Linked DNA regions of Caenorhabditis elegans. The protein of the gene in region 1 purifies or fractionates together with the protein of each later gene. This does not show direct contact. Each region holds a gene or a part of one and is shown in the gene's direction. Other genes may lie near its edges.

Region 1 (9,563 bases):
GATATCATTGACAATTTTCACGACCTTGAAGGTAGTGGGGAAAGTGTTTAAAACTACTCTTACGGTGACAAAATGGTCCACTATCACAATAAAACTTTTCAAACATTTTTTGAAATTTTTTGCCACTCATTATAATTTTGGAAGTTGTCCAAAAAACGTTTCTTTTCCCTACATATTTTATACATTGATTTTTTTTATTTATTCGTAATACAACATTGTATCGGTCTGAACATGCGAGATATTGCTTTGGATTTCCTCAAAAGCTCTTATTTTCAACATTTTGGCAATTGCCAAAGAGTTGGCCGGAAATTATGAAAAATCTAGAAATTTATTGGACTGTTTTATTATGATATTCGGTCGTTTTGGATCATTTTAAGTGCATTTAGACTGGTGCTACTCAACCCTTACGTGTAAGTGTAAACTATGTAAAATGGAACATTAATGACAAATGGACAACCATACTGTAGCCAAAATCTCTTTCAACGCAGAATGGAGATAAATAAAATTATGGATGATTTACTTTTGATACGATCCGGATTCACAAAAAAAAGAAAAGATGATGAGATCAGTTTTATTGAAGACTAAAGGGTTTTGAACAGATTGACTAGAAACTCTACATACACCCTAATTCATGCAAGCAGTCGTCATTTCGGAACGTCCCGGGGCACGAACAATTCGTAACGTGGTCGAGAAGAAGGAGGGAAAACGAGAGAGAGAACGAGAAAAAGTGTTGACTTGTTGCGGAAGAGACACTGAAAAATTGACTCGGGCCCAGAATAATAATTGACAAAAGTGTGAGAGATTTCCGACGAGCGAGGGATAAGAAATACGGAACTGATCAAGATCACATGACTTATGGATAAAAATGCAAACCGATTGAACTTGGAAACTCAGCAAATCAACTTTTATGTTTTAATGACGATAACTTAATTCCTCTTGTTTGAAATTGATTGAAACATTGCCAAAATTACTGCTGTCATGGAAAAGTTTATGTGACTTTTAGGGCATATGATGATTTCTTGATTTCATACTTCAATTAAAAACAACTGATAAAAATGTTCTAATGTTTCAAAGAACAGCGCAAAGAAAGATAAACTGTCTCAAAAATTATTTGGATCATCTTCAAACATGACGAAGGCATCGAATATTCATGAAGACTCCGCTCGAATTTCATTTTATTTTCTCTGCTTCTCTAATGTTACATATTTTCTACTTTTGTTTTTTTTTCAACCAATACAAACAAGGGAGCAATACGTTGAAGAATTAGAGTCAAAATATATCATGAGACGGGAGGAGAGGAGGAAAACGCAATTGTGAGCCGAATAGATAAACATTTTCTGACTTTACAGGAAAGAAAAAAGTCGGGTGTCACATGTTGGTGAATGGAATAACAGTCAAATCTTACTACAGAACCATACCTAAATAACATTTTATGGGAAAATTAAGAAATTTTACAGAGAAATTATGTAAATAATTAATTAGGAAGGATTTATCTTATTCAATGTTCGCAAATTGCAAGCCAACTTTTATTACGAGACCACGAAATTCTGAGAATGCTTAATGCACAGCATATTTGACGCGCAAAATATCTCATAGCGAGAACTACAATAATTCTTTAAACGACTACTGTGACTCTGTTGTCGATTTACGGACTCGATTTTCAAAACGAGTTAATGTTAGAATTTTCGACATACCAAATTTTCTTTAGTTTTCTCGTTCCGCTTTGTCATTTTTTCTGTGTTTTGTTCCAATATTTTATCGACCAATAAAATATTTCCGTAAATCGACACCAGTGCTACAGTAGTCATTCACAGAATTACTGTAGTTTTTGCTACGGGATGTTTTGCGCGTCAAATATATCGCGCAATACGCATTCAAGCTGCATTGCAATGGTGTACGGTGAAACACCGCATTTGACGCCAACTTGCCGACATCATTATTTTTTAAATAAGAAATATTTTTTGATTTTTAAACCAAATATCTTACGAAAAAATTAGATAAAAATTAGGAATATGTACATTTTTCAGCTACGGAACATGTCAAAGCGAGGACAATCATCTTCAATGTCTTACAAAGACAAGGTAACAATTGAAAATATAAATGGTTCATTTGTTCATTCATATGAATATAATCAATTTCTGAAAAGACATTTTCAGGCAAATCTTCATTTCGTCGAACAAGAAGAGCCCGCTTTTATTAAAGCAATGAAAGCAAAATTGGGATACAAGGAACCAGCTAAGCTCGAGGACAAGGTTAAATTCTGATTTCCTCTGTAAACGGGAAATTTGATAAGAATCGTCCAACTTTTCTTTTTATTTTTAATTTCAGTACGAAGATGAGGCCGGCCCAGCCGATTTTGACGACGATGAAACTGATTTAATGCGGATGAAGGAAGAAGATAGACCACAGGTGGTTGTGTTAAACGAAAAGACTGATTTGACGAAAGAAGAGCTTGAAAAAGAGCTGGAAGAAAAGAAAAAGGAAGAAGGTGACAAATTGATTGCCGAAGGGAAAATCACTTTCAAGAAACCAACAAAACGAGCAGGAGATAGTGCTGCAGCTGACGAAGAAGAAAAGAAGAAGAAGAAGAATGCTCCCTTGCCAAAAGTTCAAAAAGGTCTCTTATCGTTTAACGATGAAGATGAAGAAGAATATTAATTTTTTCCGTTTTTATCTTGTTTTATTGAATCTAAAATTATTACCTTCGCTGAATAAAGCGTATTGATCTCTCTTTCTACACGTATTACTTCTCTCAAATTTTATTAGCAATAATAAACAAAAAGTGAATTAGCTTAAAAAACATTTTTGAGAATTAAAAGCTAAATGACATTCAGGAAAAAATGAATCCCTTCTCCAATGATTTAACGCTTATGAAGACTGAGTAGACCTGTTTTTATAAAAAATGACTACCGTACTACTTCAAGAGACATGTAGGGTTACGAGTGGGTCTTGCAGCGAAAGCTGGAGGTTGCTTCGAAATTCACTTTTTTCGCGCGAAATTTTTCTTTTGTAAACAGTCCCATTTCGAGAACATTTTCAGTCGATTTGACCTTTTTATTTGGATTTCAGCTCTGGTTCAAACTACGTTTATCAATCAACGAAACAGCAAGCGCGAATTCACCTCGAGTCTGGGTGTGATCACCCGTTTTTCGCCATTTCCTCTTCGTTCGTTACCAGGATGAACGATGGGGAAAACTATTGGAATGCGTTTCGATCGCACAAAAGATCTGCCACTGATGGACCGACCCTTTCGCCATGGATGGTCACAGTTTTACAGGCGACAAAGGTAATAAAACGATAATTTCTAAAAATGACTTTAAAAAATTATTTTCAGCTACTTCTTTTCGCACTTTGTAATATAGTATTAACACTTGGATCAGTTTTTTCGAAACTCATCGTATTGATCATGGCTACTAACATCGTCCCTCGAGCTCATCTCATTGGGAAATTCGCCAGGAAATGCACGAAAGCCGCCGGTAAGATTCATTTCCTCAAAACGTCGTAATTATTTTTTTTTCAGTTCGACGTACATCTACAACAACTGCGGGAATATATCTGTCGCTACTATTGATTCAGTGTTTCCCTGATACTATCAATCTGATACGTTCTGGCATAGATATGTGGAAAGGACAATGTGGTCAACTCGTCAAGTCAGTGGTTGTTCTGGAATCTCTTCGAGCAATCGGACTCGCCGTTCTGAGCTTCCACGTTTTCCCTCAATTGGATCTCGCCAGATGCCTTGTTCTCAGCGCATGCTTCCCACTTGTGGCTGTGTTGCAAAGATCTTTGGTAGCAATGGTTTCTGCTGCTAGAACAGGAAGATCATTCCGAAATCGTCTCGGCCGATGCTTCGTTGCAATTCCACATGTCATTATGTTCTTGGTTCTCATGAGTAGCTGTTATGTTTGGGCGCTATTTGATAACAAGTTCACAGCTATAATTGCACTTCCGATTGGAGTAATTTGCACTTCAGCTGGCTTTTGGGAATCTTGGATTGACACAACGCATTCTGGTACTTCATTTGATGAGTTATACAGGCTCAAATATGCTGTACGGAAGATGAACACCACCACGAAACTTATTGTTTCCCTCATGCGCATCGTTTGTACAGTTTCAGTTCTGGTGAGCATAATTGATTTTTTCTGGAAGAAAAATTGTACTTACAGGTATCTGCTGTCTATATTAACGATCACAAGAAGCTTAATTCATCTCATTTTGTCAAGGCATTCTTTAGTTTCAGTACACGGCAACCCCACACGTGAGGATATCAAAAACTGAAGCATTTATACTAATTCCCTAATTACAGGAGGCTTCTTCTACTAGCCACCGGAATCATTGTTCTCCATTTTGTCATGCGAGGGATTTCACGCTTCTTGGCTGCTCTTGATCTGCATCCGTTCTCTTTCGTGCACCCACTCTCCATTGCTCCTCTCATCGCTTATGGATACGTCCGTTATGCTTGCCAATCACCCACATGTTCAATAGCTCGACGATTGGCTAGATTTGGTCTTCATTGGGTGTGTGATCAATGGTTCCAAAGCGCACGAGGAATCGCATCTCCGGACTTTTACATTTGCCTTATTTGGTTGTTGGTAGGATGCTATAGAGGATGGAGATTGGTTAGACAACGATACTTTGATACGAACGAAGAAATGTAAGTTGAGGCAATTTTGTTTTCATATTTCAATAATTATGTTTCTAGCATCTCTTCAATGCCTCCTGTCTGTAATGGCCTCTGCATCGAGCAATCTCTTGTGGTATTCCAACATTCACTGAATCGGCAAGAAAAAACTATGCTTACCGAAGAAGAAGACATATCGGATGAGAATGATGAGCTACGAATTCGAAACGATGAAGTTGACAGAGTGTCTACGGTTTATGGATGTGCAACCATGTGGCATGAAACAGAAACCGAGATGCGACAAGTACTTCGTAGTATTCTGAAGCTTGATGTGGATCATGCGACACGTATGAACAACAAGAAAGCTAATGAACTTCGATACCGATTGGAAGGTCACATTTTCTTCGATGACGCATGGGAAGATGTCGAAGAAGATGGAATAGAGAAAAGGCAGCCAAATGAATACTTCAACATGTTCTTTGACTTGCTCAATGAAATGACTGGTGAAAGATTAAATGAAGAAGGAAAGATGGAAACAAGAATTCTCGTCAATACACCTTACGGTGGTCGTCTTGTTGTAAAACTTCCATCAGGAACTTTACTCTTCGTACATTTGAAGGATAAAAAGATGATTCGACACAAAAAGCGATGGAGCCAAGTTATGTACATGTATTACCTTCTTGGTCATCGTATCATGGATTGCCCACTTTCTATTGAAGATAGACAACAGATGGCTGACAACACGTTTATTCTGGCTATTGATGGAGATTCTAAGTTCGAACCTGACGCACTTCTTCGTCTTCTCCACTTGATGAATGCGAAAAGTGATATTGGATGTGCTTGTGGAAGAATTCACCCAATTGGAAATGGTATAATGGTTTGGTATCAGAAGTTTGAGTACGCTATTGCTCATTGGTTTCAAAAGGCTGCTGAACATGTTTTCGGTTGTGTCCTTTGTGCGCCTGGATGTTTCTCATTGTTCCGTGCATCTGCATTGATGGATGACAATATCATGCACAAGTATACTAAGACCGCTTCCGAACCACGTCACTACGTCCAATATGATCAAGGAGAAGACAGATGGTTAAGTACATTGCTTTTGAAACAAGGATATCGTATCGAATACGCCGCTGCGTCTGATGCTGAAACATACGCTCCGGAAGGATTCGAAGAATTTTTCAATCAACGTAGACGCTGGACTCCTTCGTCGATTGCTAATACAGTAGATCTTCTGATGGATTACAAGAGAGCTTCAGAAAATAATGACGCCATTTCATATGCCTACATCGCCTATCAATTCCTTGTGATCTTCTTCTCAATGCTCGGACCTGCCATTATATTCACTATGCTCGTATTCGCCCAAGTTGCTGCTTTTGAACTTCGAGGATCTGATGTGATGCTCTATAATGGAATTCCGATAGGATTTTTCATTGTTCTTTGTTTCACAACAGAGTCGAATATTCAACTTATCTATGCCAAGTACATGTCGATTGCGTACGCGTTCGTAATGTTGGCTGTGTTAGTCGCTACCAGCAGTCAAATTGTTCTCGAGAGTGCGTTTTTACATTATCCCTTCATCCTGATTACGACAATTTTCAGCTGTTCTCGCTCCTACATCTCTCTTCATTGTCACAATGGTCGGAATCTTCTTCTTTGCTGCATGTCTTCATCCAAAAGAATTCACGAATATTATCCATGGTGTCGTATTCTTCCTCATGATTCCATCTACATATGTGTTCCTCACTTTATATTCGCTCATCAATCTCAACGTTATCACGTGGGGAACTCGTGAAGCTGTCGCTAAGGCAACGGGACAAAAGACGAAAAAAGCGCCTATGGAACAATTTATAGACAGAGTGATTGATATTGTGAAAAAGGGATTCAGATTAATCAGTTGTCGGGAGAAGAAGGAACATGAAGAGAGACGAGAGAAAATGGAAAAGAAAATGCAGAGAATGGAGCTAGCCTTGAGAAGTATTGAGGTTATCTTTAACTTTAGAAATGTGAAATTAATAATTTATTTTCAGAGTGGTGCCGACGTGAAGAAAATTCTCGATGCAACAGAGGAGAAGGAGAAACGTGAAGAAGAAACTCAAACTGCAGATTTTCCGATTGAAGAGAACGTAGAGAAGACTCAAAAAGAGATTCAGAAGGCAAACCGTTATGTGTGGATGACAAGTCATAGCTTGAAAGTTTGTGAACGAGGAAAACTGAAAAGTGCGGAAAAGGTTTTCTGGAACGAGCTCATCAATGCATATCTGAAACCGATCAAGACGACGCCAGCTGAAATGAAAGCCGTCGCCGAAGGATTGGCTTCTCTACGAAATCAGATTGCTTTCACTATTCTTCTCGTTAATTCTCTTCTTGCTCTTGCCATCTTTTTGATTCAGAAACACAAAAATGTGCTCAGCATCAAGTTCTCGCCAATCAGTAAGCAATATTACCTTTATGGTCAATTCAAAAAATTTGTTTTTTTTTTCTAGAAAACTTCCGATGGACGAAAATGAATGAGATGACTGGACAATACGAGGAAACCGATGAACCATTAAAAATAGATCCACTTGGAATGGGAATTGTTGTTTTCCTTCTAATTATTCTTTTTGTTCAAACTCTCGGAATGCTTCTCCATCGACTTAACACTATGATAGGAGCTTTCCAAGAAGTGAAAAATTTGTACGAATACGGAGTTTCACCAGTGATAAATACAAAGAATGATGATGAGAGGATTATGAATAATGGTATTTTCTTTTTAAAACTAAGTTTAAAGACGAAACAACTCAAAATTATTGATGAATAATTGTCATTAAATGATTTTAAATTTTCGCAAAAACTAAAGATATAATTTTCAGCTCGTCTAATGATTAATTCTCTCGGTGTCAGTACTGGACACGCTGCCGACGGCTATACAAGGCATCGCGGAGAGGAATCCGATACCGGCAATGTTCTCTACAAACTTCAAAAGGCTCGTCTCGCAAAGCGAATGCAAAGAAGTGCACTTTCCACAACTGAATAGTGCTAAAATTGATTTTTATTTTTTATTTATTGCATACCAATTAGTATTATTATTATTGCATGCTCTTACCTCATCTCTCGCCTTTATTAACTTCTGTTGAATGAATTTGTAACTAAAATAAAGAAGAGGAAACTTTTCACCCTCTTTTTAAATGAGAAACTTTAAGGGATTATATTGTTCCTGCTTGGATATTTTATTTGAATTATCCGCTCAAATGTCTTACTTGAAAAGTTCGGGCGAGCACGTTTGCAGGGTCATTCTTCTTTCGCAATTTTTCTCCATTCTTCCTAAAAAAATGTTTTGATATCCTCAATATTCGTAGTTTTGAAGAATTTGCAAGCAGATCGCTTTGATTTTGCAGTAATTATATATTTTTTTTCAGTCAAAATGCAATCCCTGGACATAAAACCGACAGTTGGTCTAATCGCTTGCTGCGAATGCGGTGTTGCGATTGAACCAAATCCAGCGAATATGTGCAGTGGATGCCTTCGCTCGAGGGTAGATATTACCGAGGGAATCACTCGGCAATGTGAGTTTTCTAAAATTGTTGAAATAATAATTTTTCAAATTTCAGGCACAATTTACATGTGCAAATTTTGTGATCGTTACTTTGTTCCACCAAGTGCATGGATGAGAGCAGAACTGGAATCCAAAGAACTTCTTTCGATTTGCTTGAAAAAGTTGAAGCCAATGCTAACGAAAGTAAATCATTCACGGAATCACTTCAGTTTTCAATAAAATCCAAAATTTAGGTTCGTCTGACCGATGCGTGCTTTGTATGGACAGAAGCTCACTCCAAGCGTATCAAAGTGAAAATCACAATTCAAAAGGAAGTATTCACTAATACAATCCTACAACAAGCTGTCGTCGTTGAGTTTACCGTTCACAGTCAATTGTGCGATGATTGTCGTCGTGCTGAAGCCAAAGATTTCTGGCGTGCTTGTGTGCAAGTTCGTCAACGTGCAGAGTTCAAGAAGACTCTTTTCTATTTGGAACAACTTCTCCTCAAACACTCCGCTCACAAAGAATGTACTGGAGTCAAGCCTGTTCCGACTGGAATTGATTTTTACTTTGCGAAACAACAAGAAGCGAGAAAATTTGTCGACTTTTTGATGACTGTACTTCCATGCAAATATCACTACGCGCAGGTTTGTGAAAGTCGATGATGCTGAAATAATTGACATCAGTTTGCCTACAAATCAGGGGTGCATAGCAATTGCCGACCGGCATTTTTACGAAATGAGCCAGAGGGGCATGCTCTCCCAATATTTTTCAGTAAAATGTAAAAAAAATGTTTTGATTTATCTGAAAATAACTTTTTATTAACAACTGAAAGTGCTCAAAAAATTACTGAACGTTGAAAACTACCCGAATTGTTTTTTTTGTTGATAATTTATCTGATTTTTTCCGGCAAAGCAATTATTTTTTATGTATTTTACCATTACATTTTGATGAAACATATTAGAAAAACATGTCAAACTGTATCATTTTGTAGAATTGCCGCGCACCCCTTTTTCAAATTATTCTCTGAATTCTTACGAGTCAGTTCGCAAAACACCATATTATATTCACCATCAGTTATGACATTTTCTTATTTCAGGAACTTGTCTCTCACGATACCAAAAACAACACATACGATTACAAACACACTTTCTGCGTTGAAATCGTACCAATCTGCAGAGACAATATCGTTTGTCTCCCAAAGAAACAGGCTCAACAATACGGAAATATGTCACAAATCGTTCTTTGTCTTCGTGTCTCGAATGTCATCACTCTCATCGACCCCAACAATTTGCAGTTGGTTGATGTTCAAGCGTAAGTACAAATATCTAGAAAAGAAATGAAAATTGGCATATTACAGAACTAATTTCTGGAGAGAGCCTTTCGATTCTCTTTGCGGACCAAAACAATTGACAGAATTCTACGTTC
Region 2 (4,611 bases), 510 kb from region 1:
TCGAACAATTTCATCTATTCGAACTCTTGGTAAGAAGATCAGATTACTCGGGGTTTGAAGGTGGAGCAGCGTGTGTGGAATTTTTTGCGTAATATTACAAAAACAGGCTCAATAAATACAATAAAAAAGAAGAGTAAAACATTTTTATGATTTTTTTAAATTTTTCAAAAGATAAAAAAGGCTGAAATGCTGTGGAATTCCCGCGTTTATTATCGCCGAAAAATGTATAAAAAATAATTTTTAAAAATTAAGAAAAAAGCAAATTCAAAAATAATTCATCCCTTTTGATTAATGGATATAGTCATGGAAATATTCGTCAAAAAATTAGAATTTTTTAAAAATTTTTACAGCTATATTCGGTATAGTGAGACCATTTTCTGTCATTTCGGGTATCCACTGACGCTACTCCGCATTCACAAAGTTTTTGAATGTTTTATTGAATTTATTACAAATTTGCACAAGTATTGAACTATTTCAGCACTCGGTGATACAAAGAACGCCTTGTCCGACCAATCAGATAAAATTTCACAAATAGTGTCGCTTTGGAAGAAGCTCTGCCAATCTGATGATCTACCAAAAAGAGAACTTCCGACAGCAATCCGATCTGCTGATCCGATTTCCGAAGTCCTTTGTCTGGAAACTATAAACGCTCTTTCTCTTATAAAACAACTTCATCGAAGCATTGGTCACGTGGCAAAATCGATGAAAACCCCTTCGTTGGCTTCTCCAGCCGTTCAGAAAACTATTCAATCACTTGTATTTCAACAGACACCTGATGAATGGGATAGCATGTGGGCGGGACCAAGTGATCCTGCAGATTATTTAAATGTTGTTGTTAAGAAGACACGTGGAACATTGCAGGTAACAGTTTTGAAAATAAAAAATAAAAAAACATGACTTTATTGCTGTCAACTTAAAGTTGGATTTTTCATTCTTTGGCAATATGATTTGTATTTCTTTTGTGGTATTTCAAATTTTAAAACAGTTTTGATTTTTTTAAAACTAAATCCCCATTCCCCATACTCCACATTTAAACAAACTTACAATTTACACAATAAATATACATTTCTTCAGCTGTTCGAATCGTCAAAATCATCTTCTCTGCTCTCATCCCCAATTGATTTTTCGGACTTGTTCTATCCAAACATCTTTTTAAATGCACTCCGTCAAACAACATCTCGTCAAATAAAAATTCCATTAGATCAACTGATCTTATCATCAGCATGGACTCCTTCTCAACTACCAGCTAAACAATGTGTTCAAGTTCAAGGGCTCTTGCTTCAAGGAGCAACGTTTGATTCATTTCTTCGTGAAACTACAGTATCCAGTGCTGCTTATTCTCAAGCTCCTATAGTTTTTCTTGCATGGACATCTGAAAGTTCTTCAACGATTACTGGAGAGCAGATTCAGGTACCAGTGTATAGTTCAAGTGAACGATCTGATTTGATATGCTCGGTTAATATGCCATGTCGTGGAGCCGATCAATGGAATATTGCAGCTGTTGCATTGTTTTTGAGATGATTTTAATTTTTTAACCGTGATAAAGTTTTAATAAATATTATTTGGAGATTGAGTGATTGTTTTATTAATTGATTAGAATATATTTCTAACTACAACAGTAATACAATACACCAAACTTGCGGCGCTTTGGAAATCGAGTCCCTGCCTTCTCCAGAAGTCAAGAGAATACAAATAATTATTTAGACGTAACCACGTAGAATTTGTAACATTGATAACGAAAATTTCAAAAATCCAGCATCATTATTTTTTTCAATAGAAGACAACAATGGAATGTGCAATTTTGTAAGTTTTGTGCTCAATCTCAGTTCTATGTGCAACTATGTGAACAAGTTATTTAAGCTTGCTCTACATATCAAATTTGTGGGGCGTTTTCTGGGCGAGAGGCGGGCGGACATCGTGCCCTCTGAAATAAATAGATCAATCTCAAGAATACTTTCCATTTTAGAGTATTATCTTGTATTCTATCAGTACGTCTCGCAGATGGATCTCCTGAAACCCAAATGGATTCATTGGCCGGTTATCAGAAAAGTGGAAAAGGTCCAACGGTGAGAAAATCGATGAATGTTAAAAATCAATTATTTAATACATCACAGGTAATCTTTATCAATCATTTTTACACATTACCAATGGAATCATATCCACACAAGATAAATGGACCGACAAAAGAAATTCCTCCAGATGAGCGCTTTTTGTTGGTTCGTTCCTTGTTATTTGGATGTTTAAAGCAATTTTATGATCATGAAGTGCCCAGTTTCAAATCTTCAAAATCCACAAAGTTTACTGAATCCAAAATTTTCAGCCCGACTACTTGACATACATGTATTGCATTTTTCTAACAATATTCTCAATTATCATTCTCCTCCATCTCCTTCGTCGTCGCCCAATTGATCATTTCACTGGATTAATGCATACACCATGGAATAAGGAAGAAGAATCGCAATTTGTCGAGATGAAAGATGCCTGGAAATCTGATTCCTCAAGACATTTCTTTTACAAGCATTGGACAAATCACGTGTCAACATCTCAGAAGCTTAGTGAAACATTCGAAAGAGATTTCGATCCAGTTCTTGAGGGAATGAGCGATAATGACTATGCAAAGGTAAGAACATAAATTAAATTAAATTTTCAATTTTATTTCATTTTTCAGAAAAAGAAATTGATTTTGGACATAATGCGATTAGTCAGAAGAAATGAACTCGTAGATGATGACAATTGATAGAACTTGTTAGAAATTACTTATTGGAATAAATAAAGTTTTCGTAACATTTAATGAATTTACCTAAATATGAAACCTGAGAACATTTATTTTTCAATACTGAGGGGCTTCCATAGCCATTGATTTTTTTGGGTGAATGAAAAGATTTAGCAAAACAATTTTCCAAGAAAACATTTAATTGTTTTTTAGATTATTTTAAAAGTTAAATTATTTTACCGAAATGGGCAAGTTTGTTGCTTTTATGAAGACTCCTGACTCCAAGGTTTTTCAATATAACGAAAAATAGTCATTACAGACTTTATTCGTAAAAAGCAAGAAAATAACATAAAGCATTGAAAAAAAAAGAGATTTTGAAGTTAGATTATTAGTTCTGGAAAATGAATTTATTATCGAGAACACCAGAAAGATTTTCCTTGTTTTCCTGCTTTTCCTCACTATTTACAGACTTCTCGACACATGAGGAGTCTTTCATTTCCAATTCCGATTGAAGAAGTGCCATTTCGAATTCCATCTTTTCAATTACTTTTTTCATCGAACCAATTTTCCGTTTATACTTCTCAATACTTTCTTTTTGTCGATCATCATTCTCTTCCATATATTTGACCATGTCTTGTTGATCCAATGCATAATCACGAAGCTTTTCATACTTTTCACTCCATTTTTGTTCAATAGCATCTTTCCATTCTTCTAATGGATATTCTTCTGGAGCTTCAACCTTTTTTCTCATTTCAATCATCAATTGATCGTTGATCTCCATCAACACTTTTACCATTGGATGGTCATGAATTGAATCTTGAGATTCTGTTGATCCTTCCTTTTCGACTTCCTGAATAGTCTTCATCTTCCGATTCTCACATCGACGCATTTGAACTTGTCTCTCCAAATCTTGAATTTGAAGTCTCATGGTGTTCTTCTCCACTTCATTACAAATGTTTGTCAGGTACCTCTCGTCCATCAACTCTTGAACTTTTCGAATTTGACGATTACATCCTGGGCAGTACATTTGATTCGAGCTTTGTGGTGGATTATAGCGTTGCATACTTCTTTTTAGTGTTGAGTTTCTGAAATAAATAAAAAATATAAAAATTAATGTGTTCCAAAAAAAATAAAAAATAAGGAAAACAAGAACAAAGATGGGTAATGTTTGATTGAGCACAGTAGCAGTCGATATATCGGAGACGAGCGTTTTCGTGTCGAGACCCAAAGCTGCAATCGATAATGTAGTGCTGTAACTAGCAAAAAGAATGGCATAGGAAAGGAGAACATCTGCTCCGATGACATCATTTCTCTCTTGCTATGAGATCGATATTATCTGGTTCCTCTCGCACCTGTTTATGACATTTACAAAGAAGTACCAATTTGGTAGATCAAAAAAGATTTCGAGAATGTTGGGACTGGAACAAAATTTTTTATAATATTAAGATTTTTAGTCGCCGACAATGGTTGCCCATTCCAACGTGCTATTCGATTTATGTTGGAGCAATCGACGGGCGAATTCGTGGTAGTACAGATTATATGCTTCATTTATCAAAGTTGTCTATGATTTATTGGATTGAAAGCAAAAGTTGGAGATTAGCTCAAAGTGAAAACTGCAGAATCAAATTGAACTCCGGCGAAATGCATGAAATATTAACTCTCAATTCAGTATTGCGGAAAACTGGTTGGAATCAGGAGTTGACAGATCTTTGAGACAAGAAAATGTGAGGGAATTTTCGCGTCTCCCGGTCATGTCCAGATTACAACAGTTTTCCGGGATGCTGAATTGATATGGAATCAGATAGAGCCGTCTTTATTTTTACTTCGTTTCTACTCGCTTTAGTTTTCAAAATGTTTCAGGTCAAGATCAATGGGACGAAGACGACTGAAGTAGGACG

Evidence for each region.
Region 2: the proteins of chs-1 (region 1) and F18C12.4 fractionate together in Caenorhabditis elegans (co-fractionation; one large-scale study listed by BioGRID). This does not show direct contact.

The regions. Positions count from the first base shown.
Region 1 is NC_003279.8:7,551,823-7,561,385, forward strand, and holds chs-1 (Chitin synthase chs-1), read left to right. Parts: upstream 1-3,032; 5' UTR 3,033-3,178; coding exon 3,179-3,286; intron 3,287-3,334; coding exon 3,335-3,476; intron 3,477-3,520; coding exon 3,521-4,122; intron 4,123-4,166; coding exon 4,167-4,258; intron 4,259-4,306; coding exon 4,307-4,654; intron 4,655-4,702; coding exon 4,703-6,174; intron 6,175-6,220; coding exon 6,221-6,603; intron 6,604-6,648; coding exon 6,649-7,051; intron 7,052-7,104; coding exon 7,105-7,359; intron 7,360-7,470; coding exon 7,471-7,634; 3' UTR 7,635-7,807; downstream 7,808-9,563. Other genes in the region: T25G3.1 (DUF4604 domain-containing protein), read left to right, coding at 2,037-2,081, 2,157-2,252, 2,329-2,658; T25G3.3 (60S ribosomal export protein NMD3), read left to right, coding at 8,022-8,163, 8,209-8,336, 8,387-8,782, 9,235-9,449, 9,496-9,563. UniProt on the Caenorhabditis elegans protein: Essential for the embryonic synthesis of chitin, a component of the eggshell.
Region 2 is NC_003279.8:8,058,969-8,063,579, reverse strand, and holds F18C12.4 (Small integral membrane protein 29), read left to right. Parts: upstream 1-1,612; 5' UTR 1,613-1,786; coding exon 1,787-1,803; intron 1,804-1,966; coding exon 1,967-2,066; intron 2,067-2,114; coding exon 2,115-2,216; intron 2,217-2,320; coding exon 2,321-2,620; intron 2,621-2,668; coding exon 2,669-2,737; 3' UTR 2,738-2,791; downstream 2,792-4,611. Other genes in the region: che-3 (Cytoplasmic dynein 2 heavy chain 1), read left to right, coding at 1-29, 479-861, 1,075-1,521; K04G2.10 (uncharacterized protein), read right to left, coding at 3,102-3,776.